3 linked regions of the Canis lupus familiaris genome follow. The protein of the gene in region 2 interacts with the protein of the main gene of each other region in a biochemical or structural test. Links are inferred from orthologs where the notes say so. Each region holds a gene or a part of one and is shown on either strand. Other genes may lie near its edges.

Region 1 (10,002 bases), on a different chromosome or scaffold from region 2:
AAGGGCTGAGCTGGGCAATCTCACAAGGGCCCCAGAAGTACTTTTGCACTTGTTGTTGGGGTTGAGGCCAGGGAGAAAGTCCCTCATCGGTGCCGAGGTGATACCTTGGTAAGACACCCCATGCCCATCCCAGCATCTAGCAAGGAGGGTAGTCAGTGTTTGGGGTAAAGGGGACTTTACTGATTGGTGGCAGAGCCAGGTAAAGACCCAAAGCTTTTGTCTCTGGACCCAGGGTTCCTTTCACGACCCTGCACCCCCATCCTGCCCTGGGAAGGACTGCATGTCTGGACTGCACAGAAGTGCCTCCCTTGGGGCTCTGCTGACTTTCTGATGCCAACAGCAGGTGACATTAGTGGTTATGAATAGCCATTTTATTCTCAACCATGGCTCTAGTCTAGAAAAGCTTTATGAAAGTCACTAACCCCATCAAGATTGCTGAGAGCACAAGAAGGAAGGGAGGAGGAGAAGAAAGTGAAACTTCTGGCTGCTGCTAGTGTCACTTTGGACTCCAGGCACCCGAGGCTGCTGGGAGCCACGTGTTGCAGGCAGAGGTACTTCTAGGGCTTACAACTTAACTGACAAGCCTTTAGGCCTCATTCAGATTTTGACTCAGAGGTGAACACCATGAAAGCCAAGGAGGTGCACTCAGCAAGCAGGGTGATGCTTGCGCTCTCTGAGGCTGCAGTGAGGGAGACAGGCTGCAGGGAAGGTGGCTCTGTGGTCCGTCTCACCGCCTCCTCCCCACCCCCCTGCCAATAGGTGCTTGCTCAGACTGGGAGACTACACCACCCTCTCAAATAGGACTTCTCTTTAACTTTGCTCAGGGCACATACTTCCCTGTAAGTGATGTGGCTACAGGGTGGGACACCCCTCCATCTGACCAGCTCAGCTAGGCTTCCCTGGCGCCGTGGGCTATCAACCACGGTCAGCCTCAGTGACAGGGACTTACAATGCCTCTAATTTTATGTGTCACAAGAAGTCAGCTCCAGGTAAGCAGATTAGAAATGGGTCTTACCAGTGGGCCTGGCCGTGGTTTATTTTTGGTTCTGGGGTTTCAGCTCTGTTAGAGAAGTAAGGCCTGGGCTTCCCCAGGACAGAAAAGAGGAAGCGACATCTGGCCTTCTTTAGCGGGCTGATAGGCTCAAGAGGAAACGCTGGGCTGGGGAATCTTACTGTTCCACAGCCCTCACCACTGCCTGGGCAGAGGGAGTGCTGCAAGTTCAAGGGAAGCAGGCCTCCCGGAAGACTAGATCCAGCTGTGCCCACATCAGCATGTTGAGCTAACCAGGACCAGTGGCTCTGTCCCCAGAAGGTGCTGATGCAGACTCCAGGCCTCAGTAACCAGCAGGACACATGTTCTGGGGTTTCTGAAGAAAGCCTGACGTGTACAGCTGGGCACCAAGAGATAAGAGGCCATGGTCACAGAGAAGGGGAAGAGGCACCAGAGCTGCTGGTTCAAAGCACTCACGGGTTAAGGGGGTGATGGTGGCAATGACTCTTACCATATCTGTAGCTTAATTCTCTTGCCATCGAGCTCTATGGTCCTAATTTTAAAGTCAATTCCTGGAAGAAAAAAAAGGAAAAAAAAAAAGACACATCACTGTCAGCCTGTTTCCCACGCTGCATCTGAGGAGGGCACTGCCAGCATGTACAGGTAATAGCATCCACGGCTTATGGGGCACCTGGCCTGGCACCAGGCATGTGGGCTCTCCGAATCTCCCACAACAAATCTGGAGGCACCTGGAGAGCTTTTCCCTCTTGCGGCAGGGGAAGCTGAGGTTCAGAGGGCAGACAGAGCTGTCCAGAGTGAAGCCACAGGTGGCACAGCTAGCAGGCAAACCCGGGTAGGTCAGGTGCCAAAGCCTTGTTCTAGCCCCTCTCTCCACCCAGCCACCTCTCAGGAGTAGGCCTCCACAGAACGCTTTGCAAGCCAGAACCCCACACTTTCCGGCACCCAGCACCAGGCCCTGCAGGCACACAGGGCATGGAGCCCCCAGGACACCCCACAATGTCGCCCCCTCAGCCTCTGGCTTTCCCACGCGTTGGTCCTTCTCTGTGGGTGGTCCCCACCCCATCCACCTGTCAGCCTGACAAACTCTCTCCTTTAAGACTTCCTGAAAAATCACCTTCCAAGCTTTCCTGACTCTGCTTCCCCAAGTCCCCTTTCCCCATGCCCAGGGTGACCTGGTCTTCTTCAATTGCTCTCCAGGCTTCCATCCTCTCAATCCCCTCCCCAGCTTTCCAAACCACATTCAACCCTGTCACAAAGCCAACCTCTGTTCCAAATCTTCCAGTGTGTCTGCCAACGGATGGATGGATGACCCAAATGTGGTCCATCCACACTACTAGTCAGCCATGACCAAGAAAGAAGCCCTGACACACACTGCCACATTGACGAACCTTGAGAACATCACGCTGAGTGAGAGAAGCCATATGAAAGGTCACATAGTGTATGACTTCATTCTTATGAATTCTCCAGAACAGGCAAATCCAAACAGCAAGGAGATTATCCGTCGCCAGGGGTTGCAGGGGGACTGAAGATTCAGGGGGTTGACTAAGGGGCTTGGGGTTCCTTTTTGTTGTAATGAAAACGTTCCAGAATTGCCTGTGATGATGTTATTCAAACATGTGAATATATCAAAAGCCACTGACTTGTATGCTTTAAATGGGTGAACTGCATGGTTCACAAACTGTCTCTCAATACTGCTAAACAAATAAACAAAACAAAACAAAACTTCCACTGGCTTCCTACCAGCCCACTGGCCCCAAAATAAAATGAGAACAGTTGTGTGTGTGCTCTAAGGTCCTGCCACCTCTCCGCACTCAGGGCTTATGTGACTTTTCCCAAAATCCCAAGCACAACCTGGCCTCAGGGATCTCATGCTTGGTCTTCCCATTCTTGGGATGTTGTTTCCTTCACCTCCTCCAGGGAGCCTTCCTGACCATATTTACTCTCTCCTCTCGCTTTTTTTCTTCTTCATGGGCTTATTCCTGACAGTGTACATTTGTTTATTTGTTCCATGGATCTGGGAATAAAACTTGCCCATCTGAATGGCCTGTATGGAGGGCAAATAGCCCAAATCTCTGCCTGTGAAGCCTTGAGGCTGAAGCCTGGCTTGATCCCTCAGAACTGATGATGGGGATGCTAATTCCATCCCTGCCCCACCGCAGGGACTGTCCAGGCGACCACAGGGAATATCAGCCTGCACTTGAAATGTGTCCACTGGAACATAAGCTCCACGAGGGCAGGGACTCAGATGTCTAACTCATGGCTGTGTCTCCAATAACTTAGCATGGCAGAGGCCAACAACGTATTTGCTAGAAGCTGATCACCCAGTCCTTGCACACACACCTTGACTACAGGCCTTGTTACATTTGTTTCCCTGATTCATCCAAGTTATGCAGATGCAGACCGGCTGGCATGCAGTCATTCAGATGTGCAGCCCTGCTGGCAGCCAGCAGGCATTGGGGAAAGATGGCAGGACAATAGAACTAAGAGGAACGGGGTCTACATGGTGCTGCGTGGTTTACGAAGCACTTTGACGCTGTGCCATCTGTCTCCCTGAAGGAATGAGTGAATGGGACCCTGAGGAGACGTTGGAAGCTGAGCCAGGCTGTGAAGAAGCAATTCCAGGAGCCACGGGGCCAAGTTTACACCACAAATGATTGATGGAGCTTAGGAGAATAGGCTTTGGCAAAACGAAACGTGGGCAGGAAACGAACAGCCACTTAATCCCTGATCTATAAAGCAAGCCCAGAGGTACACTCAGCACCAACAGAGAATCACCTTTATCCAGTCAGTTTGTGTCTCAGGACTCAGGGGCCCAGTGCTATTCCTTCCTAAAACACTCCCCACCTCCTGTCACAGATGCACAGGGCCATATAAAATCAAGAAGCACCGTTCTACTGGCAAGGTTCCACAGCATCACTCTGTCCTCATCTCTTCCTGCATTTCATGAACACACCAAATATAATTAGGAAGTGTAAACTTTACAAGGCTAAGAATTATGAGGCCATTACTTCAAGGCCAGGATGAATTAAATTTTCTTAGAAGACAGAGACCTGCAGGAAAACTATAAATGTAATGAGAATGCCAAGGTGGGAGGAGGGAGGGATTCCGGGCTCAAGTGCGACCTGTGTCCCCAGGTGACCTGGCCCAAGTCATATCTTTGTCTGGAAGTGGAGGCCAGTCTTCTCAGAGCCCTAAAGTGCTAGACTGGGCTTTCTGGTTGAGAATTAGAAACCGAACAAAAAAGCCCAATCTCTGAATTGATCTCACTAGTGCCTGTACTGAACAGCAAGTTCCTGAGGCTGGGAAACTGAGGTCTGGGTTGAGGACGAGCCACAGCCTGCCAGGAGTTAACATCTCTTCCTGACCGGTGGGGATGGGATGCAAGGGTTGTCCCAAAGTTTGACCTTGGGGTGGTGGAAGGGGAGGAATCAGAAGCATCTGTGTCTAGGGAGGGGATGGTGTCACTGCAGGAGACATTCTGCTTCCTCCAGGCAGCCTCTGGCCATGATGACCACCTCTTATTCACTATATAGTTCTGATCCTCAACCATCCAGGGCACTGGCCAAGGCAGAAAGCATTAGTCCTAAACTGAAGGAATAGGACTCAGAGAGGCTAAGTGCTGGTTCAAGGGCAAACAACAGCTGGCAAGCAGGCATGACGATTTCCAGTGCGATTCTCTCCACTCTGCATCAGGAACATAACTGTAACGTGCAGCTCCTGGAGGAGGGCAAGGATGGAATGAGCAGCTCATCACGGGGTTCATAGAGATAAGGTGATTGGATTCAAGTTACACGGGGGTAAAGCAAAGCCTGGTGCCCAGGTTTTCCCCATTCAGAATCAACTCCTGAGCTTGGTGACCACTCTGCAGCAAGGCTGTGGAGCTCACAGGCCACGCGATTTGATCGGCGTTACTTCCAGGTCAAATGTTTTCACATGGGCAATGGCTGTTTTTGTGGCGTCGGGAGAAGTCAGCTCCACTTTTGTGGATATCAGAACTGAGAAGCAACAAGCCAATTCTGTTCAACCACAATGTGGGCTGGCCCTGTGGGAAAGGCTGTTCTGCAAAGTGACAACTGGTGTTCTGGGCCTCCAGATAGGGAAGTCAGGGCTGTCTGTGGCAGCGGCTGATTTTGGTTTGTCACTCAAGTTTTTATCTGGCATCTCCTTGGGGGTGACAGGTCCTAGGGCAGGCAGTGGTCACTCACCCTTGACACCCTCAAGTGATGGAAGTTTGGGCGGAGAAAGGCTCCAGACTCCTTCTCACCATTCCTTCTAGGAGAAATTCACCCATAGGGGAAACAGGGTCAGGGAGCCGGGCTTACCCCCTGAACATTCCAGAGGAAAGAGCAGGAGAGAGTTGGTTGAGAGTGCTGGTTCTCAGATGGACCAGCAGTGTTTGCCCTGGGGACCAGCGCTCACATCCCTCCGGCAGGATCCTGCCTTGAGCTTTCGTGTTAGACCCACATGGATTCAAATTCCACCTCTGCCACCTGCAGACGTGACCTTGGGGGAGTCCCCCGTTTCCCTGAGCTTCAAATTCCTCATGTGAGACGGGCTCATTTAGAGCACCTAACACAGAGGACTGGAAAGTGTGATAATGCCCATAAAGCGGCTAGCACACAGTAAATGCTTAATAAGGTTCAGATGTCACAGGCCTCTTCCGATGGCCTACTCCCCAAGCCTGTTTCGCTTCTGTAAGGCGGGGACCCCAAAGGAACAGCTTCGAAGGCTGCCGTGTGAACAGAACGAGACGACCGGAGCCGGGACCCCAGCCCGAGACACATACTTCCTGACAAGCAGCCTGAGGGGTGGGGCCTCAGTCCCCCCATCTGCAAAATGGGCACTTGGTTCGCCGCCTCCCCCCGCTGCCCGGTAACCCCCGGAAGGCGGCGGAGGCGGCTGCTCTCCGCCCCTCCGGCCCCCTCGACCCTCTCAGATCCCTGGATCCGTCCGGCCCAGCCGCTCCCTCAACCCCAGCCCTTCAGGGGCGCGCCCGGCCCGGGCCTCCGGCGTCCTCCGCCGCTCCCCGGCCCCGCTACCTATGGTGGAGATGAAAGTTGAGTTGAAGGCGTCCTCGGAGAAGCGGAACAGGACACAGGTCTTCCCCACCCCCGAGTCCCCGATCAGCAGCAGCTTGAACAGGTAATCGTAGGTCTTCGCCATATTACACTCTCTCCCCGACGGGAAGTGCGGCCAGCGCCTCGCCACTGGCCGCGGGCCCCGTCCATCAGCGCCGAGCCCGCCCCCTATTGGCTCCCAGCCCGCCGCGCGTCACCGCGGCCGCCGCCCGCTCCCGCGCCCCGCCCGTCGCGGGGAGAGCTGGGGAAGGGGCGAGCGAGGCGCGGTGCCGGAAGCGGCCCGAGCGCGCCGCTCATTGGTCGGCGCTCGGGACAGGGCGGGCTCCAATTGGCCAGCCCTGAAGAGTCGGGGGCTTCAAATGCAGCCCGGCGGGGGGCGTGGCCTCCCGGGTCCCCGCCTTCTTTCCCTCTCCCCCCCCCCCCCACCTCTCCCGGCTCCGGGGCGGCCCCGCCCCCCGGCGGGAGGGGAGGGCGGGGCACGTCGCCAACGGCTCCGCGCGCCCGCGGCTCGGGGGCGGGGCTTGGGACGTGCGTACGGGGCCGGGGGGATCGTTAGGCGCCAGCAGAGGGCGCGCGCGCGGCGGGCCCTGGCTCTCCCGCCCTCACGCCTGCGCAGCCTCAGTAGGCGCTGGGAAGAACGCGGGAAGGGGCCGCGCGGGTGGCCGCGTTGTGCGGCGGCTGCGGCGTCGGGCCCCGGCGCGCGAAGGGGAAGGCAGAGCCGGGGTCGAAGCGAGGTCCCCGCGAGACGTCCTCCGGGGCCTCGGCGCTGGCCAGGGGACCGCTTGGCGCTGCCGGGCCTCCGCCACCCGAGCCGCGAGGCCCTCGGACCTAACCGGAGCCTGCCCAGAGCCCGAGCGCCGGCCGCCCCGCCGCGGATGCAGCCCCGTGAGGATGCTGGGACGTGGCTCCGAGCTTGGTGTTGGCCTGCCCGAGTGGTCCGCACTGGGAAAACAACACCAGGTGGCCCCACTCCGACCCGCCGGCTTGGTACTGGGCTTCCCGCCCGTTGATGGGTTAGAAAACCGAGCTTCAGTGATTTCCCCAGGCTCCCGAATGGGGAACCGGGCCCGAGCTCAGACGCGCAGGCTTGGGAAGCCCGAGATGACCTGCGGGTCGGAGGTGGGCCGCGCCGTCGGGGGGTGCGGGCATCTACACTCGGATCTGGATCCGGGCGCGGCGGGGGGGGGGGGGGGCCGAGGGGGGAGCTTCCAGCGGAGCCGCCGCCCACCCTCCTTGCGGGTGTCTCCCGTCGCCCACGCCTGGCCCCCTCTGGGTGCTGCTCCTCGGATTGTGTCGCAGTCCCCGGGGTCCCCGCGTGTGCTTTAGGCGTTGCCGGTGGTCCCAGGTCTGCTGGCACCCTGGGGCAGCTCGTTCACTCTCCGTACAGGTGATTCTTTGAGGAAATCCATCCCCCAGCCATCCACCAGCCGCTTTCTTGGATTTGGCCCAGGGACTTCGACCTGTCTGGCAACTGAACATGGCAACTTCTACTCCAACGGGCCTGGCCCGAATTGCCTTATGAGTGAAGCCGAAGTCATCCTTGACCCTGCTCTTTCATCGTCTCCCATCTTGGTTCTAAGTAGTTGTTGAACCTTGCTCCTCTCTCCACCCGCCTCCCTGATGATTCTGTTCTCTGATCCAGATTTCCCTCCGCAGTGTACTCCTCCTAAGGCACCTGTCAGTGCCCCCCACTCAGGGTCTGTCAGGATCAGGTCTTCACACTCTGCTCCTAAGCTCTCCCTGCGTTCCACAATACACTTCACGGGATCTGGAACTCCGGGAGATCCGAGATCGGTTTAACAAACCCAGAACACTTCTTTATGTAGCGAGGCACCTGATTGACTGGAACAGTAGTATCCTGAGATTAGGTTGCAGCCCAAGGCGATGGGCAAGAGGGGGGAGAAGGAACTTCTGTCTAGTAATGGTAGGGCCCTTAGAGAAGGCAATTATACTTTAGTCATTGACATTCTCCGCATCTACCATCTAAACAAGGTCACAGGGACGCCTGGGTGGCTCAGTGGTTGAGCTGCTGCCTTTGGCTCAGGGTGTGATCCCCGAGTCCCAGGATCGAGTCCTGCATTGGGCTCTCCCCTGCCTGTGTCTCTGCCTCTCTCTCTCTCAGGTCTCTCATGAATAAATAAATAAAATATTAAAAAAAATAAGCTCACAGCAGCAGCTAAATGTTAATACTCAACATCAAGGAGATGTTTTTAATTGTACTTGGTGGCAAAAAAAAAAATGGTTTGCATACCACATTAGTTTTTTAAAGGCTTTCATTTCTCTTTTTGATTCCCTACCCCACTTCCCCAAGATCAGATCTTGAGGCAGATAGCAGAACAATTCAGGTAGTGAAACTGCAGTCATCTTTTGACACTTTTCTTTTTCAGGTCACCTGCCAGCTGGTCAGCTGTCTTAAGATTACTTCCTCCAGATCACTTCTTCCTTTTCATTCCACGGCAAGCACCATCTGGGGTTAATGGAGACATCTCCCTAACTGGCCTTACTGCCCACTGGTCTGCTCCCACTCTTGTCCTCCTTGAAAATAGACTAAGTGAATTTTCCTAATGTGTTTCTTTGTTGATTAGTCTTTAACAGCTCTCCTCCTGACCAAAGTTTTAAGTTCAGGCTTTCTTCAGTATGGACCCAGCTTACCTACTTCTTTCCTTTATATATGCAGGCAGGCCTTGTGCTTTCCTGACTCAACAGGGACCATTTTCCCTGCTCCTGTCTCATCCTAGTAAAATCCTAGTTATTCTTCACAGCCTGGCTCAGGCATGACTGGGTCTAACAAAGGATAGGGGCTTTTGAATTACTGAGGCAAAGTGCTCTCCTGAATGTAGAGATCATAATCCCCATATGAAGTCATTGTATAAAGCAAGGAACGTTTGTTAATAATCTTGGCACAGTTATCTTTCCCTCCCATCCCATTAACACTCATTGAACAGAGTACCTTCCACGTCACCCCCCCCCCCAAATACATTCTAAAGTTCACACAAATTATAGTTTATGTAAAAATTTATTTGACCAAAATGTAGAAAAAGTGATACTATTACATATGATACAGTTGCAAGAATCTAAATGAAAAGTGGGTTTTATTCAATTGCACAATTTGCTAGTGTACCTTTGGGTAGTGTGATGCTTAATAAATAGGAGTGAGGGGCAGAGGATTTGGATAAGCTAGAAGCAGGGTAATTTTGTCAGCATTGTAAACTTGAGTTGGCCCCCACACTGCTGGGGAATGTGGAATGTTTCAGCTCTGAGATGTTAATCAAGAAAGCAGAAATTACAACAAAGCCAAAATGTGCAGCCCTGCCTACAAAATACTCCATATCCAGTTTAATCAGGAGTTTCTTCTTGGTCTTTTATTAACTTGGTCCTGAAGAAGGAATTAAAGTCCTACATAACTAAATCTTCAGTTTGCCATTCCTGAAGTTTAAAGGAGATGAAACTAGGCCAATTACTTTATCTCTACTTTGCTGTCAGAAAGGCCCCCTTCTGCCCAATATTTGTTAACAACTACTCAGTTATTGATGGCTAGTGGTCTTCCTGATAGGACTTCTCGAAATAAGACTGACTTCTACCCACACTTATTCCTGCTGAATAGACGGTCTCAGATCAGAGCAGACAAGCATGGGTCATTATTGGAATAAGCTATCTGCTCCTCAGAGACCAACTTTAGAATGAGAGGAACATGTAGAAGAGCGTAACATCAAGGATCTATCCAGAAAATATTTGGGTAATTATTATGATTATTTCCTAAGTATTCTCATGCTGACTGCTCAGAGAATGTTTGTTCTGCATGGTGGAGTGTGGGAAAGAGCCAAGATGATTAGGTTAATCTTTCTATGGTTTATGAATTCCCACAAAGCCAGCCCCCTCCCCCTGGCTTTTCACACCGCGCCCCCCCCCCCC
Region 2 (10,003 bases):
TGACCAACAAGGTAGCAGATATCATAACTAGTGCCTTTATATTCCTTGTGTTTTTACTCTGGTTTCCAACTTCATGCTGGTATTTCTAGGTAAACATGACTGAATTTGCCCTCCCCACACAGTATGAAATAAAAGACTTCTAAATTCCTATGTACTCCTGAAATAATTTTTTTAAACATTTTATTTATTTATGAGACAGAGAGAGAGAGAGAGAGAGAGAGGAGAGAGGAGAGAGGGAAGAGGGGAGAGAGGGAAGAGGGGAGAGAGGAGAGAGGGGAGAGGGGAGAGGGGGAGGGGAGGGGGGGTGGGGAGGAAGAGAGAGAGAGAGAGAGAGAGAGAGAGAGAGAGAGAGACATAGAGGGAGAACAGGCTCCTAGCAGGGAGCCCCATGTGGGACTCAATTCCCGGACCCGGAATCACGCAGAGCCAAAAGGCAGATGCTCAACCATTGAGCCACCAAGGGATCCCATGAAATATTAATTTTCATTTAGTACTTATCCTTAGTGGCCCAGATTCGAGATATGACCTACTGGTAAACAACCATTCTGAACATCTCCTAGCTCCCCCAAATCAAGCAGTCTTCAGGTGGTTCTTTTTGCCAGGAACACTCTTCTTTTCTCCCTGAGACCTAGCTCAAATATCACCTCCTCTTAGCAGCTTCTCCTAATTCCCCAAAGAGGAACCAGTACCCTGATCCTCTTTGTTTGCCCCTTTAATAGAGTATTTATACCCTCCATTGCAGTTATACTTATTTCCCTCACTGATTTGAGCTCCTTGAAAACAAAGACCCTACTATACTGTTTTGCCTCCTGCTAATAGATGCTTGATAAATATTGGTTGAATAAATGAGCCAGTTTAAACTATAAAGAGATAAATTTCTTAACATAATTTGTTCAATCTGACATTAAAAAATGTCACTGTTTGAAGGGTTTTATTTCTAGTTTGTTGTCTATAAACTTCCAGTTATAAAATAAATAAGTCATGGGTGATTAAAATAAATAAATAAGCACGGTGATTACTGTCAATAACACTGTATTGTATATTTGAAAGGTGCTAAGAGAATAGATTTTACAAATTCTTACCACAAGAAAAAATTTGTAACTGTGTGGTGATGGATGTTAACTAGATTTATTGTGATCATTTCACAATATATATATTTATGAATGAATTTTTATGAATTATTTATTTAATAATTTTTTCAGCTTTATGAATTTTAGCTTAATGAATTTTTTCAAATGTGTTAACTTTAAAGGAGATATCATGGAGAAAGTAATTGCTTAGACAAACTAAGGGAAATAAAAATATTAATGCTGTCCTTCTGCTCTGATTCTGCTTATCTAATTTGCATGAGTTCATATTTTTAGGTGACTAGAAGAATATGGGGCAGGCTCCTTTTTTAAAAGATTTATTTATTTATTTTAGAGAGAACATGTGCACATGAGTTGGAGGAGGGGCAGAGGGAAAGAAAGAGAGAGAATCTCAAGCAGATTCCCCTGCTGAGGGCAGAGCTGGACATGGAACTCAATCTCAGGACCCATGAAATCATGACCTGAGCTGAAATCAAGAGTTAGATGCTTAACCAACTGAACCACCCAGGAGCCCTTGGGCAGGTTCCTTTCAGCCCACAAAGTTCATGAGTTGAGCAAAAAGTTCTATAAACCCAGATGAATATCAGAAACGAGATAAAGACTGACAAGGCAAGAGTGAAGGAAGAAGAGCTTACTTTGGAGAAAAAGAACACAAAACAATATAAATCTCAAAGAAATGAAGATGAGAAATACAGTATTGGACATTAGCAGTAAAACATCGACTGGATTGTACTGTTAAAAGCCATCATGACGGATGCCTAGGTGGCTCAGCAGTTGAGTGTCTGCCTTTGGCTCAGGGCGTGATCCTGGAGTCCTGGGATCAAGTCCTGCATCGAGCTTCCTGCATGGAGCCTCCTTCTCCCTCTGCCTGTGTCTCTGCCTCTCTCTCTCTCTCTCATGAATAAATGTATAAAATCTTTAAAAAATAAATAAATAAAATAAAATAAATAAAAATAAAAGCCATCATGAAACAGACAACATGGATGGACCTTGAGGACATTATTCTTAGTGAAATGTGTCAGTGAAAGACAAATACCATATGATCTCACTTATATGTAGAATCTAAGAACAAAAACAAAATCCCTGAAATCACAGATACAGAGAACAGATCAGTGGTTGTCAGGGGGGGATGGGTTAAATGGATGAAAGAGGTCAAAAGGTGCAAAATTCCAATTATAAAATAAATAAATCATGGGGCTATAATATGCAGCATAGTGACAACGGTCAATAACACTGTATTGTATATTTGAAAGGTGCTAAGAGAGTAGATTTTTAAAATTCTTACCATAAGAAAAAAATTGTAACTGTGTGGTAATGGATGTTAACTAGATTTATTGTGATCACTTTACAATATATACAAATATTAAATCATTATGTTGTACACCTGAAACTAATATGTCAATTATGCCTCAATTTAAAAATGCAACTTCCCCAAAATCCATCACAAAACAAAGATAAACTTGGAATTTAAGTCAATTCCCTAATTTCTGCTATGTGTTAGTCACCAAATAAATTGCAACAAGAATAGGGCTAAAAATAAGTATAAAAATTCTTCCTAAATGTAATCATTACTTTCAGAACAGGAAGATGAAAAATAATAGGTATATGGCAAAAAAAATAGAAGTTAGAATTTGGTAGTTGTTAAACAGAAAAGAGTAACAAATTGTGAACGCGGACAGCATTATCCATAAGAAATACTTTACTTTGTTCAAGGAATGTTAAAGATGAAACAACAGGTGGCATCAAAATCCATTTTCCTTAGAAAAAATGAATACTGTTTGACTCTCTATCACAAAAAAACCCTTATTTTTAATTATAATTTTATTCCCTCAACCAAATTTCTCCAATGGTTGACAGCAGGAACTACAGAACCAAAGATTATAACAGGCTTCAATTTCTGGGATAAAAAGACCAAAAGTAAAAAAAGTTCTGAGAAGAACCCAAATCAGGGAAGGTATCCATGAGACAAGAATCTGAGGATTATAGATAGTATGACAGTATTAGGTGTCCCCAACAAATTATTTCAAAAGAAACTTCTCAGTGTAATTCTGAAATTTTACATGGCTTCGAATCTCAAGTATGCTACTTCCTGTGAACAAGTGACTTAATCTCTCTGTGCCTCAATTCCTATATCTAGAAAAGGGGGATGATGATGAGAATATTATAATTTCACAGTAACCCTCACAGGAGAGTTAAATGAAGTGCTTAGAAGCAAGTGCTTAGAAGAGTACCTGGCAGATACCAAAGCCATTAAGTCTTAGTAGTTGATATACCCTCGTGCCTTAAGCAGAAATGGAACATAAGATTTTGATTTCTTTGTGAAGAGGACACAAATAAGAGAGCTACCACTCCAAGTTTAAAAGTTCTCCAAGTACAGGAGGCCAGATAGAACCAAGCATTTATCTCAATGCCAGCTGCTCACTTCTGTAATAGCTAACTAGAGCTCTAAACCTATCAAATCAAGGAACCACATCCTAGGCTGCGGTCTTCTCAACCACAGAATTTTATTTAATACTCCTCGTTTTGTTTTTACAGAAGAGGAAACCAAGGTGCAAAAAATTTACTGATTTATCCAAGGGTCACATCTCTCCATCTCATTCTAGCCTTTGGAAGTGGCATTGGTATTCCACTTTTCAATTCACTTTTCTGTTGCATTTACTATTAAACCAGTCTTCCAGGGTTTGATGAAATCTGGGGAAAACAACATGAATTTACCATGCTAACAACTGACAGAACAGGACCTAGGGAAGAGCTACTTCATAGGCCCAATTGGCGTCCAGGTAGAGTCGGATCAAGAGTCTCAGAAAAGGGCAGGCTAGGTTAGTTAGTTAGGAATTTCTTCTGTGTTAATTAGACAGCATAGACACACTCAGTCTGGATGATCTAAAAGCAGAGACTGAGAACAATTGCTTTTAGGCCGAATCCAACGTTGGGAGAAGACGGGATATAAATGAACAACGATTTTTAAACTCTGATGTCGAGAAATCAATCAACAACCAAGGCAGGTGGCTTGGGCACACAGGAATAGGGTCTATGATATGTAAGTGGTCACCATGGATACTTTCAGGATAAGGCATTAGTGGAAAGGGAGTGAGATCAGCAGCTAAAGTGATAGCCTTTCAAAATAATCTTTTATTCAATCAGTCAACAGTATTTACTGAGCTTCTGTATGCAAGGCAGAGTGGAAGATAACACACACTGATAAAGTGCCAAAGGTTGTTTATATTTCTACACATTTCATTACTTTTTCTATCAGTCAAGTCAGTAAGTGAGGCAGTTACTGGCCTACACTAAACCATTACTGAATTAATATAAATGCCTTCAAGCAAGTGTAATAAGGGGGTGGGGAGACTGGAGGAACCAGTTGAATGGGGTTAAGGCACTTCTGTAAGGTTTCTATAATACTTTTACTTTTTGCAAACCACTTTTGCATTTCTTATTCTTCCAGTTAAAACTTCAAAGCCTGTTAAGTCAAAGGCAGTTAATGTTTTTATTTAACTGATGAGGACACCAAGGCCCGAAAGCATTACTGACTTGCCCAAGGTTACACAACACATGTCAGTTGCAGAGACAGGAACTAAAAACCCAGGCTTCCTGCTTCAACGCCCGCCTGTTGAGTCCTTCCACTGAGCCACACTGCCAGGAGAGATCTGGCGACTTGGAAGTTGGGGACAAAAACCCCAAGGCTACAGCACTCGCACTTCACACCTGTGCCTGAACCTGTTGCCCACAAGGCTTCAGGGGGAGGAGGATGGGTGGCTTGTCGCGGTTTGGGGTTGGGAGGTAATGGCAGGCTCCCCTCCTCCGTGGGAATCAGGTGGTTACTTACTCATATTGCCCGTTCCTTTGGGCTAGCGTCAGGGCGCAGGGCTCCCGGAGAGTACCCTTCATCTCCATACCCTCGATAGTATGCAGGCACTAGTCAAGGGTCTCCTCCAGATGCGCGGCCAGGGAGAAGTGGCGCGGTGCGGGGTAGAGGGAGGCTCCCACCCCCCTGCCTGCCCTCCCCACTGCCCAAGGCATCGCCTCCCGCGCTGGCCCCCTTCCCCCGCTCGGCTGGTCCTCTGGGCCCGACCGCCCCCTAATCACTCCACCACGTTCTGCACTTCCCCCCGACCCCCACTCCACCACCACCACCCCACCTTGCTAGCTTCCCCTCCCCCTTCCCTTAGGCGGATACTGCAAGGGGCTGGGCTCCAACCGAGAGCGGCGGCTCCATCCCTGCGGACTCCGGGCTCGGTGGGGCTGCGGGCTGCGGGCGGATCCGACGACTCTGCCTCCAGCGTCCTCACCCACCGTCCTCGGCTGCGCGTCGTTTGGGGGAACAGCTCCGCGCAGAGCAACGGGAGCCTGGAGCCGGGAGCGGAGCCGAGAGCCTAGAGCCCGACCCGAGAGAGAGCGGCGCCTCGCGCCCGCGCGGGTTTTCCAGGCCGCCGCAGATTTCGCCCCCTGCGGCCAACCTGCGGAACTGCAGGGAGAGACCCGACGGACCGGGGGCGTCTCGACCACGTCCAAGGAGGAGTGCGTTTTAAATGCTACCCTGTGACACCAGAATTGTTCTGTGGGCTTCGAAGATTGCCACAGAAACAAAACACAGCCATACCTATGAGAGAACTCAAATGTTTTGGGTCAATAGGACCCACATCATACGGAAAAAAAAAAAAGTCCTCATTAAAGTTATAACCTACCGTACTGGTTATCCTACCTCTCAGATGTTTTCCCCTTCTTCTTCCTTCCACCAAGTAAATAGAAAAATCCCCAAAGCTCAGATCTTTGCTCTTCCTTTGTGCCCCCCCCCCCCAGGTCCTCTCTAAGCAGACAACGACCAACTACACTTCCCAGGCCCAGCCCCCTTGCTTAACATATCCCACTGTGAACACAATCCTGAATGACAAAACTAACTCATCATTTACCACAGCCACTCAGGCTTGAAACTTCGAAGCCATGTGCTTTCTTCCTTTCTCCGAATTTATCTGTATCTAATTGGTCAACAAACGTTATTAATATTTTCTTCAGAATTACTTCCAGATTCCCTGTTTTCTCTCCATTTGCACCCCCATCACTTTACTGGTAGCCCTTGTGATCTCTCCTTTCACCATTTTGCTCTGTTGATAATCATAAGAACATTCTTCTCATAGTAATGTTTCAATTGTGTTTTTACTTGCACGAGAATCTACAGTGGACTAGAAAGCAAGACTTCTTTCAGAAGAAAATAGAAGAATATGTTTATGAGCTTGGAATAAGGAATAAGAATGACTACTTAAGACACCAGACAGTAGGAACAATAAAGGAATTGATAGATACATTTAACTACATTAAATTTCAAAATGCATGTACTTCAAGACAATGCAAAAAAGTTAAAAAACAAGCCATAGATTGAGAGAAGATATTTTTGATGCATTTAACTGATGAAGGATAACTTATGAGGTTCTACACTTCTAGCTGTCATCACCTTACAGAATTCTCTCCCACCACTCTTGGCAACTCACTCTGCGTAGTCACACTGCTCCTTGTTATTCCTAGAACTTTCTAGGCACACTCTTGCTTCAGGTCCTTTGCATTTGCTGTTTACCTGTATTCTCTCCACCTTTGGGTCTTTGCTCAAATGTCACTTTCTCAGTGAGGTCTCCCTAGACAACTTTATTTAAAATTGCAATTCAGGGCAGCCCAGATGGCTTAACCTTTTAGTGCCGCCTTCAGCCCAGGGCCTGATCCTGGAGACCTGGGATCAAGTCCCATGTCTGGCTCCCTGCATGGAGCCTGCTTCTCCCTCTGCCTCTGCCTCTGCCTCTGCCTCTTTCTCTCTTTCCGTGTCTCTCATGAATAAATAAATAAAATCTTTAAAAAATAAAATAAAATAAAAATAAAATTGCAATTCCAAAAAATGCAATTCAACAATTTCCTTATCCACTTCCATAAAAACATGCCTCTTCATTCATCTTCCATGTTCATTTTTTCCCATAGGATCTATTACTCTCTATTGTTTTATTTATTTTACTTATTAATTTTGTCTATTGTTTACCTTCCCCCACTAGAATGTAAATTCCATGAGGGCAGAAATTTTGTCTGTTTTGTTCATAGCTGCATTCCCAGCACGTACAACCATTCTTGCAACTAAGTATATTGATTTGTTAAATCCAATTTAATCAATATTAAAAATATTGATTGAATTAACAAATGAATTAGTGTCCAGAATATATAAGAACTCCTATAAACTAGTGAGAAAAAGGAAGAAATCTAGTTTAAAAATTGACAAAATACGTGAATATTTTGAATAAGCAGTTCATAGTCAAAGAAACCCAAATGACCAATAAAGACATGAAAAGATGGGGGCACCTGGCTGGCTCAATCTGAAGAGTATGTGACTCTTGATCTCAGGAGTCATGAGTTCAAGCCCTGTGAGCCCCATGGTGGGTGTAAAGATTACTTAAATAAATAAAAACTTTAAAAAAAGACAAGAAAGGATGTTTCACTTCATTACTATTTGAAGAAACTGAAAACTAAAAGGATGAGATAGTTGTGGTGATTTCACAACTATTGGTTTGGCAAAATTTTAAAATTCAGATAACACCAAGTGTTGTTGAGGATGTAGAACTGATGAAACTGATCTGCTGCTAAAAGGAGCATAAGCTGTTAGAACTGCTATGAAGAGAAATTTGACATTGCCTAATAAAGTTGAATATGTAATATGCTTCAACCCAGAAATTCCATTTCTAGGTATAGACCCGGGCAAAACTCTAAACTTGATGCACAAGAAGACATGTAAAAGAATGTTCATTGCAGGGGCACCTGGGTGAATCAGTAGGTTGGGCAAAGGCCCTTGGTTTCAGCTCAATTGTGATCTCAGGGTCAGGATCTCAGGGTTGTGGGATCGATCCCCACATCAGGCTCCACACTCAGTGCAGAGTCTGCTTGGGATTCTTTCTCCCTCTGCCCCTCCCTGATCGCTCCCCCCAATTGTGTACATGCACACACACACACACACACACACACACTATCTCTCAAATTTTAAAAAAAGAATGTTCATTATAGCACTACTTTCAAAAAAGGGAAGCAAATTAAATGTCCATCAGCAGGTGAATGAATAAATAAATCACAGTATTCATGAAGTTAAATACTATTTGGAAACTAAAATGAATAATTTGAACTATGTATTAACAGAGTTACATCTCAAAATATAATGTTGAGCAAAAAAAGGAGAACATGTGCAGTAGACTACTTATATAAAGTCTGAAAATATTATCTGTTGCTTATGGCTACATAGATATAATAGTAATAGTATATAAAACATGAAAGGGCATAATCATCACCAAATTCGAGGGAGGGAGTAGATTGAGACTAGGGAGGGGCAGACAGGGTATATCAACTATATCTATAATATTTATTTCTTTAAACAATCTGAAAGTTGATGTTGTAAGATTTGATAGAACTGGGTGGTGGGTATATATATTGGTTATATTATTTTATGCAGCTGTCTGAATTTGAAATTGTAATTGATGAAAATGAAAAAGAAAGAAGTAATATGTAGGGGAGGGTTAGCAGTGTCAACTGCTGCATGGAAAAATGAGGATGAAGAGTCTTTTTGGATGTGTCAAGGAAGTCACTGGAGACCACTAAGCAAGTAGTTTCAGTAAGTAGTGAGGATGGAAACAAGATGACAGGGAATTGAGAAGGGACTATATTGTGAGGAAATGGAAACAAGATCCCATGTACTGAAGTGGCTTGGAAATACAAAGGAGTGAAATACAATTTTAATTAAATTAATTAGAAGAGTCAAACAGAAATTCTTGACAAAACTTGAAGTCATTTATTTTATTTATTTATTTATTTATTCATTCATTCATTCATTCATTCATTCATTCATTTATGTATTCATAAAAGACGGAGAGAGAGAGAGAGGCAGAGGGAAAAGCAGGCTCCATGCCAGGAGCCTGATGTGGGACTCGATCCCGGGACTCCGGGACTCCAGGACTCCAGGATCATGCCCTGGGACAAAGGCAGGCGCCAAACCGCTGAGCCACCCAGGGACCCCCCTTGAAGCTATTTTAAAGCAAAGGGTAAGGAGCCAGAGAAGAGGGAGACATTTAAGATACTAGAAGAGAGAAGCCGAAAAGTTACAAGAAAAATCCCCCAGGGGTGCCTGGGTGGCTCAGTCGGTGATGCATCTGCCTCTGGCTCAGGTCATGATCTCAGAGTACTGGGATCAAGTCCCTGTTCTCCCTCCCTCTCTCTCTTTCTTTCTCTCTCTCTCTGCCCACCCCCCACTTGTGCTCCCTCTCCCTCAAATAAAGAAATAAAATCTTTAAAAAAGAAAAATCCCCTAATGATTGGGAAGGATAAGGATCCACAGATGGAGGAATCAACTTTAGGGAGGAGGAGAGAGATTTCTTCCTCATCATCTAAAACAGTGCTCGGCACATAGTGTGGTACTCAGATATTTGTTGTAAAGAATAAGAAGTTGTGAAGAAATGGAAATATATTGAAGTGAGGACACTAAAACTGGTTTCTCACAAGGGGGATGATGAATTTCTCCAGAAAAAGTAATAAGTGGATATTACAATAGTAATTTAACAGTAATAATCTTGTGGTTAGGGACACCTGGTGGCTCAGCTGTTGAGTGTCTGCCTTTGGCTCGGGGCGTGATCCCAGAGTCCCAGGATCGAGTTCTGCATTGGGCTCCCCATAGAGAGTCTGCTTCTCCCTCTGCCTGTATCTCTGCCTCTCTCTGTGTGTCTCTCATGAATAAATAAATAAAACCTTTTTAAAAAATCCTGGTGGTTAATGTTGAATATTCATATGACAGACACTCTCTGCATGGATTTACATACATACTTTCATTTAATCCTCACTAAATCCCTGTAAAGTAGTAATATTATTGTTTTCCATTTTAAAGGTTAGAAAATTGAGACTTGGAG
Region 3 (9,693 bases), on a different chromosome or scaffold from region 2:
TAGAAGAGCTGATTAAAAAAAGATTAAAGTGTCTCAAATAATACAATAGTCCTAAGATTTTCTTTCCAAGAGTCACATTGAAGAGTCTTTAAAGCCTTGTCTTACAAAGACACTTCCTAACCATTTTTTGAGCCTGTGCCAAATAGCTGTTTCTTTGTTTCCCAAGGAGTCCTTTGCCAGAGCCAAAAACTGGGTTAAAGAACTTCAGAGGCAAGCCAGTCCTAACATTGTAATAGCTTTATCAGGAAACAAGGCTGATCTTGCAAATAAAAGAGCTGTCGATTTCCAGGTATGTTTGAAGGCACATATGTATGGTAAATTTTTCTTCTGTATCTACACTTGAATTAGTTACAATTTTAAAGCCATGTGAAAGAATAGAAAACAAATTTTTGTGCAAATGTGGATCTACTATATGTAATATGTTTCTTATGATAAATCTGAATTTTTAAATGTCTTTACATAATTGTGTATATAAATTGATTCAAAGATTTTGTTGAGCGGGGTGCCTGGGCAGCTCAGTCAGTTAAGCATCTGACTCTTGGTTTTGGCTCAGGTCATGATCTCAGACGCAGAGACTGCTTGATACTCTTTCTCTCCCTCCCTCCTACCCACCTCTCTTAAAAAAAAAAAAAAAAAAAAAAAAGATTTTGTTGACCTAAATAATTATAAAAGAAGTAATTGTTGACAAATAGTGCAGAAATATATAAAGCAAAAGGTGATTGCCTCCTACCCTAATCCCTCCACCCCATACATATTTTAGTATCCCTTTTTATTTATCTGCCAGTATTTATATCAGCACATATATACATAACCACATATACATATACAGCTTACACATATGTGGTTCTTAAATAGGCCTTCAAAAATAAAGGCTCAAAAAACCCACTTTATATGTTATTTAATATAGCTAACCAAGAATGTTCCCTGCTACAAAATAAAGTACAATTACTTAAAAACAAATGTCTCTAATTTAAACTTTCCCTTTTCTCTTCCTCTTCAACCTCTCAGAGAAGTTTGTTGTGGCATATATATATATATATATATATATATATATATATATATATACACACATACACACACACACACATATATATATATACGTACACACACACACATATATAATGAATGATAGGGTAATTCTCTTTGATGATGGCTATGATGGAATACATAGACTGAGAAAGGGAACTAATATTTCTTGCACCTTTAGGTAGTAAGTTGAGCAAGTTGCACCTGTGATTTTATTTAATTCTAGTTATTGTCATGTGGGGTATAATATCTATTCTCTAAGATGGTTATCTCCCCAGCATAGAGTGGGAAGTAAGATTAAGTTATAAGTTACAGTCAAAAGTGGCCTTCTCACATAAGAGTTCAAAGGAACCTCATTTTTTTCATTAAATGGGAAAGATGATTGGTTGCTCTTCACACAACTGTGAGGATCAAAGGCAATAATACATGCAAACTGTAAATCATGACAAAAATGTAGACTAGTAATATAATTTTTAAAGGAATGATTTATGACATACTAAGAATTAAAATATAGCCATTAGATATTTGGATTCCCTTTGACTTCATTGAAAGTAATAAGCATAAATAAAATTTGCCATTGAGATCAAAGAGAATTTTATGTTTAGAATAGACAGTTTTCCAACCTCTGGCACTTACTATTTGAAATCAAATTTAGTGTGAGCCTAGGTGAATCAGAATGGGGATACTGCAGGAAGTTAAGGCAAAAGAACTGAAAAGGTATCCTACAAAAGATCTCTTACCTCTTTTACCTTAATTATTATATATTTGCTAATTCTAGGTAATCAAGTTGGAGTAGTAATGAGGAAGCCTCTTATTCTATAACAAAAATAAGTCAGCTATAGTATGTGCAAAGGATATATATCATATTTTTGTTTTATAAACAGGAAGCACAGTCCTATGCAGATGACAACAGTTTATTATTCATGGAGACATCAGCTAAAACATCGATGAATGTAAATGAAATATTCATGGCAATAGGTAAGTTTTTTAATTTTTTTCCAAGCAGTAGATATAGGCAATAATACTTACACTGTAGCATATTTGGTTTGACTGTCTTCTTTTTAAAAATTCTTACTCTGGGCAACCCCGGTGGCCCAGCAGCTTGGCGCCACCTTTGGCCCAGGCTGTGATCCTGGGGACCTGGGATCAAGACCCACGTCGGGCTCCCTGCATGGAGCCTGCTTCTCCCTCTGCCTGTATCTCTGCCTCTCTCTCTGTGTCTTTCATGAATAAATAAATAAAATCTTTAAAAAAAATACTTACTTTTTTGGTAAATAATTTTGAGAAGTATTTTTAAAAGTAATCATTTTTTTAATGATTCTACTACTATTCTAGATCCTTTCCACCAAGAATTACTTTGTTAGTAATGTTAAATTTGAAAGACTGTTTATTATCTATTAAGTTGTAATACTTTTCAGTTTAAGTCTCTTCTAGGTAAATTGAAAGCCTGGACTTTGAGCTAATAGTTCAAGCAGATGGATTTTCTAAATATTTCAATGAGAAATTTGGATAAATAAGTTTTTGTATTAGATTATCTTTTTTACATGAAAGGAAGATAAGCTCAGAACAATATTTATCAGCATAACATAAAGACATAAAGAGATTACTTTCTCACTGATCAGTAACTATTTTCATCTCTATTTTGCCATGAATAAACACTATTTTTGTTTCTCACATTAGTTTTAAATCACTGATTATTGACAAATATAATGCAAATATTGTAACAAAATTTCAAATTATTGAGGCACAGAAAGACGGAAAATAAAATAACATGCTTCATATTACCTCTGATCATTTAACCTATGCAGTGCTCTTACCTTTTCCCTAAGGTAATTTTATGTGTTAAGATTGTGATTCCACGTTTGTTGATTGTAAGTAATGAAATTGGAACACTAATAAGGAAGCTTCCTATTTTCTGTAACAAAAATAAAAGTATTTCTCTTGATCCTAACCTCCTTTCAACAATCTTAAGGTGAGGATTCTGTGAGAATTGGCTACTTGGGTGGCTTTTGCATTTTACTGTGTCTGCACTATTTATGCACCAAGCACTCTTCTCATTCCAAAATATGTTTATTATATGGCAATGATTATTAACTAGGGTGCCCACAAACTTATCCCCAAATAAGAAATAGTCCTTTTATTGAAGTCATACAAATTAACCAATTAACAGCTGATTCAGAGGCTAAAGAAAATATAGTAAATGCTACAAGTACTGTTAAAATATCTTTCACTAGATGAGAGAGTTTTAATGGTAGCTCATTTAGGCTCATTAGGAAAAAAAATTGCCTGTTGTGTAAAATATTTTACTGAAAAACTCAGGCTTAAAGTTTATTAGGGAAATACTTGTGGAGGATTATATGACAATGTGCTCTTTTTATAAATAGAACACAAAATTACATTCAGAACCACATCTGAAAAGCCAGTAACAGAAATCAAGGGAATAATAGCCTCAAATCAGGCTGAATGAACTTTAAACTTTTCTGATAGTACTAAGATACCACCAGATGGGCTTGCTTGCTTATTATTTTTTTAAGTAATCTGCATCTAATGTGGTGCTTGAATATATGACACGGAGATCAAGAGTCACACTGTACTGATTGAGCCAGCCAGGCACCCGCATATGGACTTTATCCTTTTATTTAGATGTGCTGGTAATATATTTTTCCAATCAGAAGATAGCCTACATATTAGAACTTTCAGTTATTTTTCTGAAATTACAATGTTTCTTTCCTTGAAAGAAATACCAAGCATTAAATTGAATTGTGGCCTTTCTAGTTGTTTACCAGATAGGTAACTTAGATCACACAGTACAGTACACTCATTATTTTTACTCTTGATGATTTCCTGTAGAGAATATAGTCATTTAAAAAAAAAAAAAAAAAAAAAAAAAAAAAAAAAGAGAATATAGTCATTTAGTAGGAGAAAGTCTACAATAATTTTATAATCTGCTTTCAATTTGATAAGATTTTGCTTACATGACTTCTTTCATTGCACATCTTCATTAACTTCATTTGGATTTTTAGCCTCTTAAGATCCTAATTCAGGGGCAGATGGTAAGCTCCAATTGCCCATATACCAAACAAGTAGTACTAGCTTTACTTTGGTAATATTAAATAAGATATGAGATAGAGATAGAGGGCTGCTTCTGAGACTTCTAAGCTGTATTTTAGTTTATTTTCACACAGTGTAAGTTTACCAAATAGAAGCTTAAAAGTTCCTTATTCTAGTTTATTTCCTTCAACCTCGTAATTTCACTCAGATCTAATTACAGAAGACCCATTGAAAAGAGAAATGATCTCTTAGTCCAAAATATAAATTATAATAAAGTTTATAAATGTTAGCCTATTCTTTGTCCCTACAAACCTTTGTTTGAAAATGTATTTGACTGGAAATTTGCTACTTCATTACCATTTACCCTTCCATCCTTAGTGCCATTTCCAGAGAAGTAGTCGAAGGTGAAGGCTTTTCTTCCCAAACTTCCATTGCCTAGCCCAGCATCTAGGATTCTAAAGATGATTAATGTTCGTGTGGAATATTACAAAAGATCCAAAGTGCAACTAGACATTTAGATATTGAAGGTGGAGCATGTCCAACTTTTGTGTAACCTGAGCCAATAGTAAGGTAAAGCTAGAATTCACCCATAATAGTCTTCTCCCCAAGGTTGATATAGTGTATCTAGTACACTTACAGTCAGTATTCTCAGAGATAGTTAATATTTAGTGAATCCAGCACATGAAGGATTTTTAAGATTCAAAGCAGACTGTATCTAACAGGTATGTTTTTAAATCAGTGGAATCCAGGCTCCAGCACTCTGTATTAGCTATATAAAGCTTAGTAGAACTAAAACCATAACTGCTAGTTGAGGGCTTTGTCCAAATGTGACAAGCCAAGATCATCCAGCTCAGGACTGGAAATCATTTTTTGAAGTAGAGACTTCAGAATCAAGTCTTCCTTAGACGAGGCAGAGCTACTAGTGAATCGGATTAGGGTTTTTAATCATCCATAAATGAGGAGCATGGTAGATGTTTGAAGAGTTAAGTATGTGTAAGCCAGAAGAAAATAGATGTGATCTGTCAGAATTTGGGGTGATAATTAGGTAGCATGATAGAGGACCAGTACTGCTGGGGTGACAGTGATGGCATTTGTTGTTTATATCCTGACTTGTTCCAGAAAGTATATGTGGCAGTCCGGAGATCATTGATACAAGCTAAGATTCTTTATAAATAATTGGCTGGCCATCATCTTTATTAACTTAGATTTTCTTTTTCTTTTTTTTTTTATTAACTTAGATTTTCTTTAAACAATAGAAGTATTAAAGATTATGAAATAAAAGTACTACTATTCTGGTATTGCTAACTGAATATATGTAAAAAATTAAATATAGTCAACTTAAGTTTTAATTATATATAACTGTTCCCTATCTTACCCTTCCCTTATCCCACTAACCTCACTGAGGACTGACGAATGAAGAGTATTTGGTATTATCTAGTAGATATTTAGTAAGCAATTGGAAAAGAATGAACATACAGCTGTGTGATAGTTTGGGTCAACCTAGCTGGAAAAAAAAAGATTAAGCAGATGAAAGTAATTCTAATATGAATCCACTAATTGTGTTTATTTTGATAATTTATCTCTCAGCTAAAAAGTTGCCAAAGAACGAACCACAGAATCCAGGAGCAAATTCTGCCAGAGGAAGAGGAGTAGACCTTACTGAACCCACGCAGCCAACCAGGAGTCAGTGTTGTAGTAACTAAACCTCCAGTTTGAACTTCCTGGAATATTCTTCTGCTTCCTAAATGTTAATGACAGTGGAATTGGAGCATTTAACCAGCCCAGTATGACTTCCAAAAAGAAGAGACTTACGATAGAGTCAAGTTTCTAATACAGAATTATTTTAAGTGTTTTGAACTTAATTTTTAATAACATGCATGTGACCCTCTGACTAATATTTCAGAAGTAGAAGGGGGGAATGAGAGCTGTGTGTGTACGCTTGTTTCCTTGGACGGTTAGGGGAATCATTTCTCATCACCAGGGATAGAGACAAATGATGTAAACCCACAGTTAACCAGCCACTTCTATGTAAAAGATTTGGAACTTATTAATTTGGGCTTTTCAAAAGCATTCTTTTTTTAGAAGGAAGTTCTAAAGATATTTATGCTTAGCTACAGTATTCAGGAAACTGGTAATTTCTCTTAGTATGCATATTTAAAATGTACATTCCACATTTTAACAGATTAGCCACAAGAAAACAGTCCCACATCTTCAGGGAGAAAAACACAAACATTAGTGGCATCTAAATTATAGCCAGTCTTGGTATTTTTAGTGGGTTAAAAAAGGTCAAACGTAACCTCATCTTGTTTTAGGAATATGAAAATTGAATGCATCTTGATAGTGTTCCCTTCAAACATGTGAGCTCTTCAACAGAAATGAAACAAACCAGGTGTCTGTGATTTCTGTTTAATCACTGCTGGCCATTACATAGGTTTTGTTGTTTGGGGGCAGGGAGGGGGCCTTTGTTCCCTTTGGACATAATATAGTCAATGCACTAACAATTATGTACATTCAAACTTGATTATTTTAAATTCAATTTTCAGCTGTACTGTAAATAGAGTACTGCACTGTAGTCTCCATATATGTTTATTACTTTCCTGTAATATTTAAGAGTTGCTTAAAAGTATACAAAATGTACAGTTACTAAAACAGCTAATTTTTCCTTTTCTCTCCCTTTGAAAGGAAGGGGCTTCAGTTGTTCCTACATGGCTAGAACCATAATAAACAATGTACCAGTAATTTGTAACATAACTATTGCAGTATGTTAGTAACAGTCTTGCAGCCTTGTTTTCCAGAGTTCATTTTATTTTGATCAGTTCAGTATATTGCACTAATTGTTTTAGGTATTTTCATTATATGAAATCTACCATGTGTCAGAGATGATTTAATCTATTTAAGTGTTGAACTGCTAGCAGAACTTGTACATTTACCGTAATTCAGAATTAGTAAGGAAAACAGTTCACCAGTGTTTAGTTTTATATTGAGGTGCTCAGGTTGGAATAAAGTGGTATAAAAAGCAAGTACTGGTTTTTCTCTTTCTTGGCATGGAACAGTGAACATATATATATAAATAGTATCATGTAACCTAAAATAATGCTTTTATAGTTTCCTTAATATGTTCTTTAAAATTTGTGTGGTATTGATGTATTATCCTAATATCTGGTTCTTTGAAGAACTGTCTTTACATTTTTGTACTCTTAGATAATCAGAAATTTATCTTTTTATGTCAGAAACTGATACTCACTTCCCTTGAGAAGTATTACCATGACTGTAATGTTGTCTCTGGATCCAGCCACTAAAGCCGCACTTACAAGTTCATGGCTAATATACTTGGCTGCACCTTCATAGAAATTTTTAATGCATGATTCTTTTTCACTTGAATTTTTTGACACATCTACACTGGTTGGTCCATTTCTTTCTTTCTCACTGTATAGATGATGATTAGTCATTTCTGATGGAAATGTTTCTGCATTTTTAGGGTTAGAATATTTTGAATCAAACAAATTTTCTTTTGTATTTATAGTTGGCACACATTCTGTAGATTCAGATTTATACTGAAACAATATATGGATATTACTTTCTGATTTAGTATTGCTTAGTTCATTGATTAGGAAAGGCTCTTTGGATGGTAAAGATTGATTTTGTGTGATACAATAGTAGGTGTCTTTATATACTTGAAACATTGTCATTGCCAGTGCAGTGACTTCCTTTGTATCCAAAACTTCCCAGAGTCCGTTAGTAGCTAAGATAAGGAATTGGCATAAGTCATCGATAGGGACAGAGATAGTTTGAGGTGCTGGGATAATGGATTTTTTCAGTTTGAGATTTCCATGAAATCCAAGTCCTCGTGTGGTTTTTATTTGCCCTTCTAGGAGCCCATATGGTTCATTTGAACTAATTATTGCTCCATTCTTAAGTAATCTTCTTCTTTCAGTTATGTTTCTCGTAGTGTGTTCTTTGGTTATGCAAAAGCCTTTTCCATTTCTGCATAAGACTGCTTGTACATTACCTAGAAGATTATTAGAAAAAATTGATCTTAGAGATTTAGTGACCAATTGTATCAAAGTACGCTTTTAACTTTATTCTGTTTCAGTGCATAAATAGGCCATTTTAAAATATTTTTTACATATGTGAAATATTAATATTGGGCGATTTATGGTCATTAAGATTTGACTGAGAGGTGAGTTTGTCCCTCATTTTTAAGTAACTTAGTGTTCAAAATACTGCACTTAATATTAAAATAACTTAAAACTACAAATAATAAAAAATAACCATCAATTTTTTATGAAACAGCTGAATATTTATACATCCAAGAGTTGAACTTTTTTATGACCAACATATATTCCATAGGGCAGACATTTTTTAAATGTTTAAATAAATGCCTTTTTAATTAAAAACAAGCATTGATTTTTTTTTTTTAAGTGGAGTTTGATAGTTTTGTAACTGGTAAAAGTTAAAACCTGAACATATATATAGGTGTGGGTGATGAAAAAAATTAGAATGCCACTGTTAATGTCAGTCTTAATAGTTTCATGTTGTGTGGTTAAAAAGAAATTAAATCGATTAGCCATGTAAAGAAAAATCCATATGTATTATTAATGTGTTAAATGGATAATAGCTAGCCAATATTAAATTAAACCCTTTGATTGAAAACTGAAATCTTAAAAGTTGATTGTAATTTGTTCATGGTTCATATGAACCTGTGATGTGTGCTTCGTTGAAATCTTAAGAAAATCTAAACAGTATTCTGAACAGATTGAGGGATAGTTGTAATACCAAAACTTTCTTTGGTTTATTAAAAAACGATTCACAGAATTTTTTAGTTTATAAGCAATAAGTTTTTCTTGATATGGAGTCATTTATCATTTATAAAAGGGTATATAAATTATTCTGAGATGAGGTTAAAGATGTTTGAATATTACAGTGCCTTTGAGAATTAAAATTCCTTGGATCATGCAGAATTTACATTAGAATACTCTGGTTTCAATCATAATACCATACCTGGAATCTGAGTTTTGTTGCTACAGAGGTTCAATTCTATCCCCAGTTTTTGAGGTAAAGAAATTGAGATTTTAGAAGGCTATAGTCTATGCAATTAGTATGGTTGGACCGAAAGAGCTTAAATTAATGAAGAATTAGTTCAGGCATAGACTGAGCCTGTTGGCTCATTTATATAATGGGAATTATAAAAATAATGTGGAAAATGTTTTTAAAACCAGAGACTTGTGTGATAGTCCTGAAAACTACATGACCTCTTTCACTTCTCTGTGGTTTGGTTATTAATATTTTGTATTAGCTTGTCTTTTTTGCTGGTCTTTCTACTTAAACTCTACAGAAAGAAAAAGTAAAATTCTTGACTTTTGCTGAGTTATAAATTATTACTATTCCAGCAAAGCAGCATGGATTGATACTGAACATGCCACCTGGGTAAATCGAATTGTTTTATTAGGAGGACATGTGATTCAATATCTCTTTTAAATTATAAATTTCCTATTAATGTATGTACATACACAAAAAAATAATGTAACCATTGCTTTGAAAACGCAGGAGACATTTGGCTCAGAAGAGTCGAATCCACTGACTTCATAAATGTTTTATTTGCATGTGGCAAGTCAA

What was found.
Region 1: the proteins of OCRL (region 2) and RAB8A form a complex in vitro, tested with the Homo sapiens proteins (2 studies listed by BioGRID and IntAct, with this or other methods). The link is inferred for Canis lupus familiaris from reciprocal best matches to the Homo sapiens genes OCRL and RAB8A.
Region 3: the proteins of OCRL (region 2) and RAB5A form a complex in vitro, tested with the Homo sapiens proteins (2 studies listed by BioGRID and IntAct, with this or other methods). The link is inferred for Canis lupus familiaris from reciprocal best matches to the Homo sapiens genes OCRL and RAB5A.

Annotation. Positions count from the first base shown.
Region 1 is NC_049241.1:46,756,646-46,766,647, forward strand, and holds the start of RAB8A (ras-related protein Rab-8A), read right to left. Parts: upstream 6,185-10,002; 5' UTR 6,176-6,184; coding exon 6,052-6,175; intron 1,564-6,051; coding exon 1,503-1,563; intron 1-1,502. UniProt on the Homo sapiens protein: The small GTPases Rab are key regulators of intracellular membrane trafficking, from the formation of transport vesicles to their fusion with membranes.
Region 2 is NC_049260.1:101,651,039-101,661,041, reverse strand, and holds the start of OCRL (inositol polyphosphate 5-phosphatase OCRL), read right to left. Parts: upstream 5,506-10,003; 5' UTR 5,308-5,505; coding exon 5,269-5,307; intron 5,001-5,268; coding exon 4,918-5,000; intron 1-4,917. UniProt on the Homo sapiens protein: Catalyzes the hydrolysis of the 5-position phosphate of phosphatidylinositol 4,5-bisphosphate (PtdIns(4,5)P2) and phosphatidylinositol-3,4,5-bisphosphate (PtdIns(3,4,5)P3), with the greatest catalytic activity towards PtdIns(4,5)P2.
Region 3 is NC_049244.1:23,811,614-23,821,306, reverse strand, and holds the end of RAB5A (ras-related protein Rab-5A), read left to right. Parts: intron 1-166; coding exon 167-289; intron 290-1,910; coding exon 1,911-2,004; intron 2,005-5,664; coding exon 5,665-5,780; 3' UTR 5,781-5,807; downstream 5,808-9,693. Other genes in the region: PP2D1 (protein phosphatase 2C-like domain-containing protein 1), read right to left, coding at 7,299-8,086. UniProt on the Homo sapiens protein: The small GTPases Rab are key regulators of intracellular membrane trafficking, from the formation of transport vesicles to their fusion with membranes.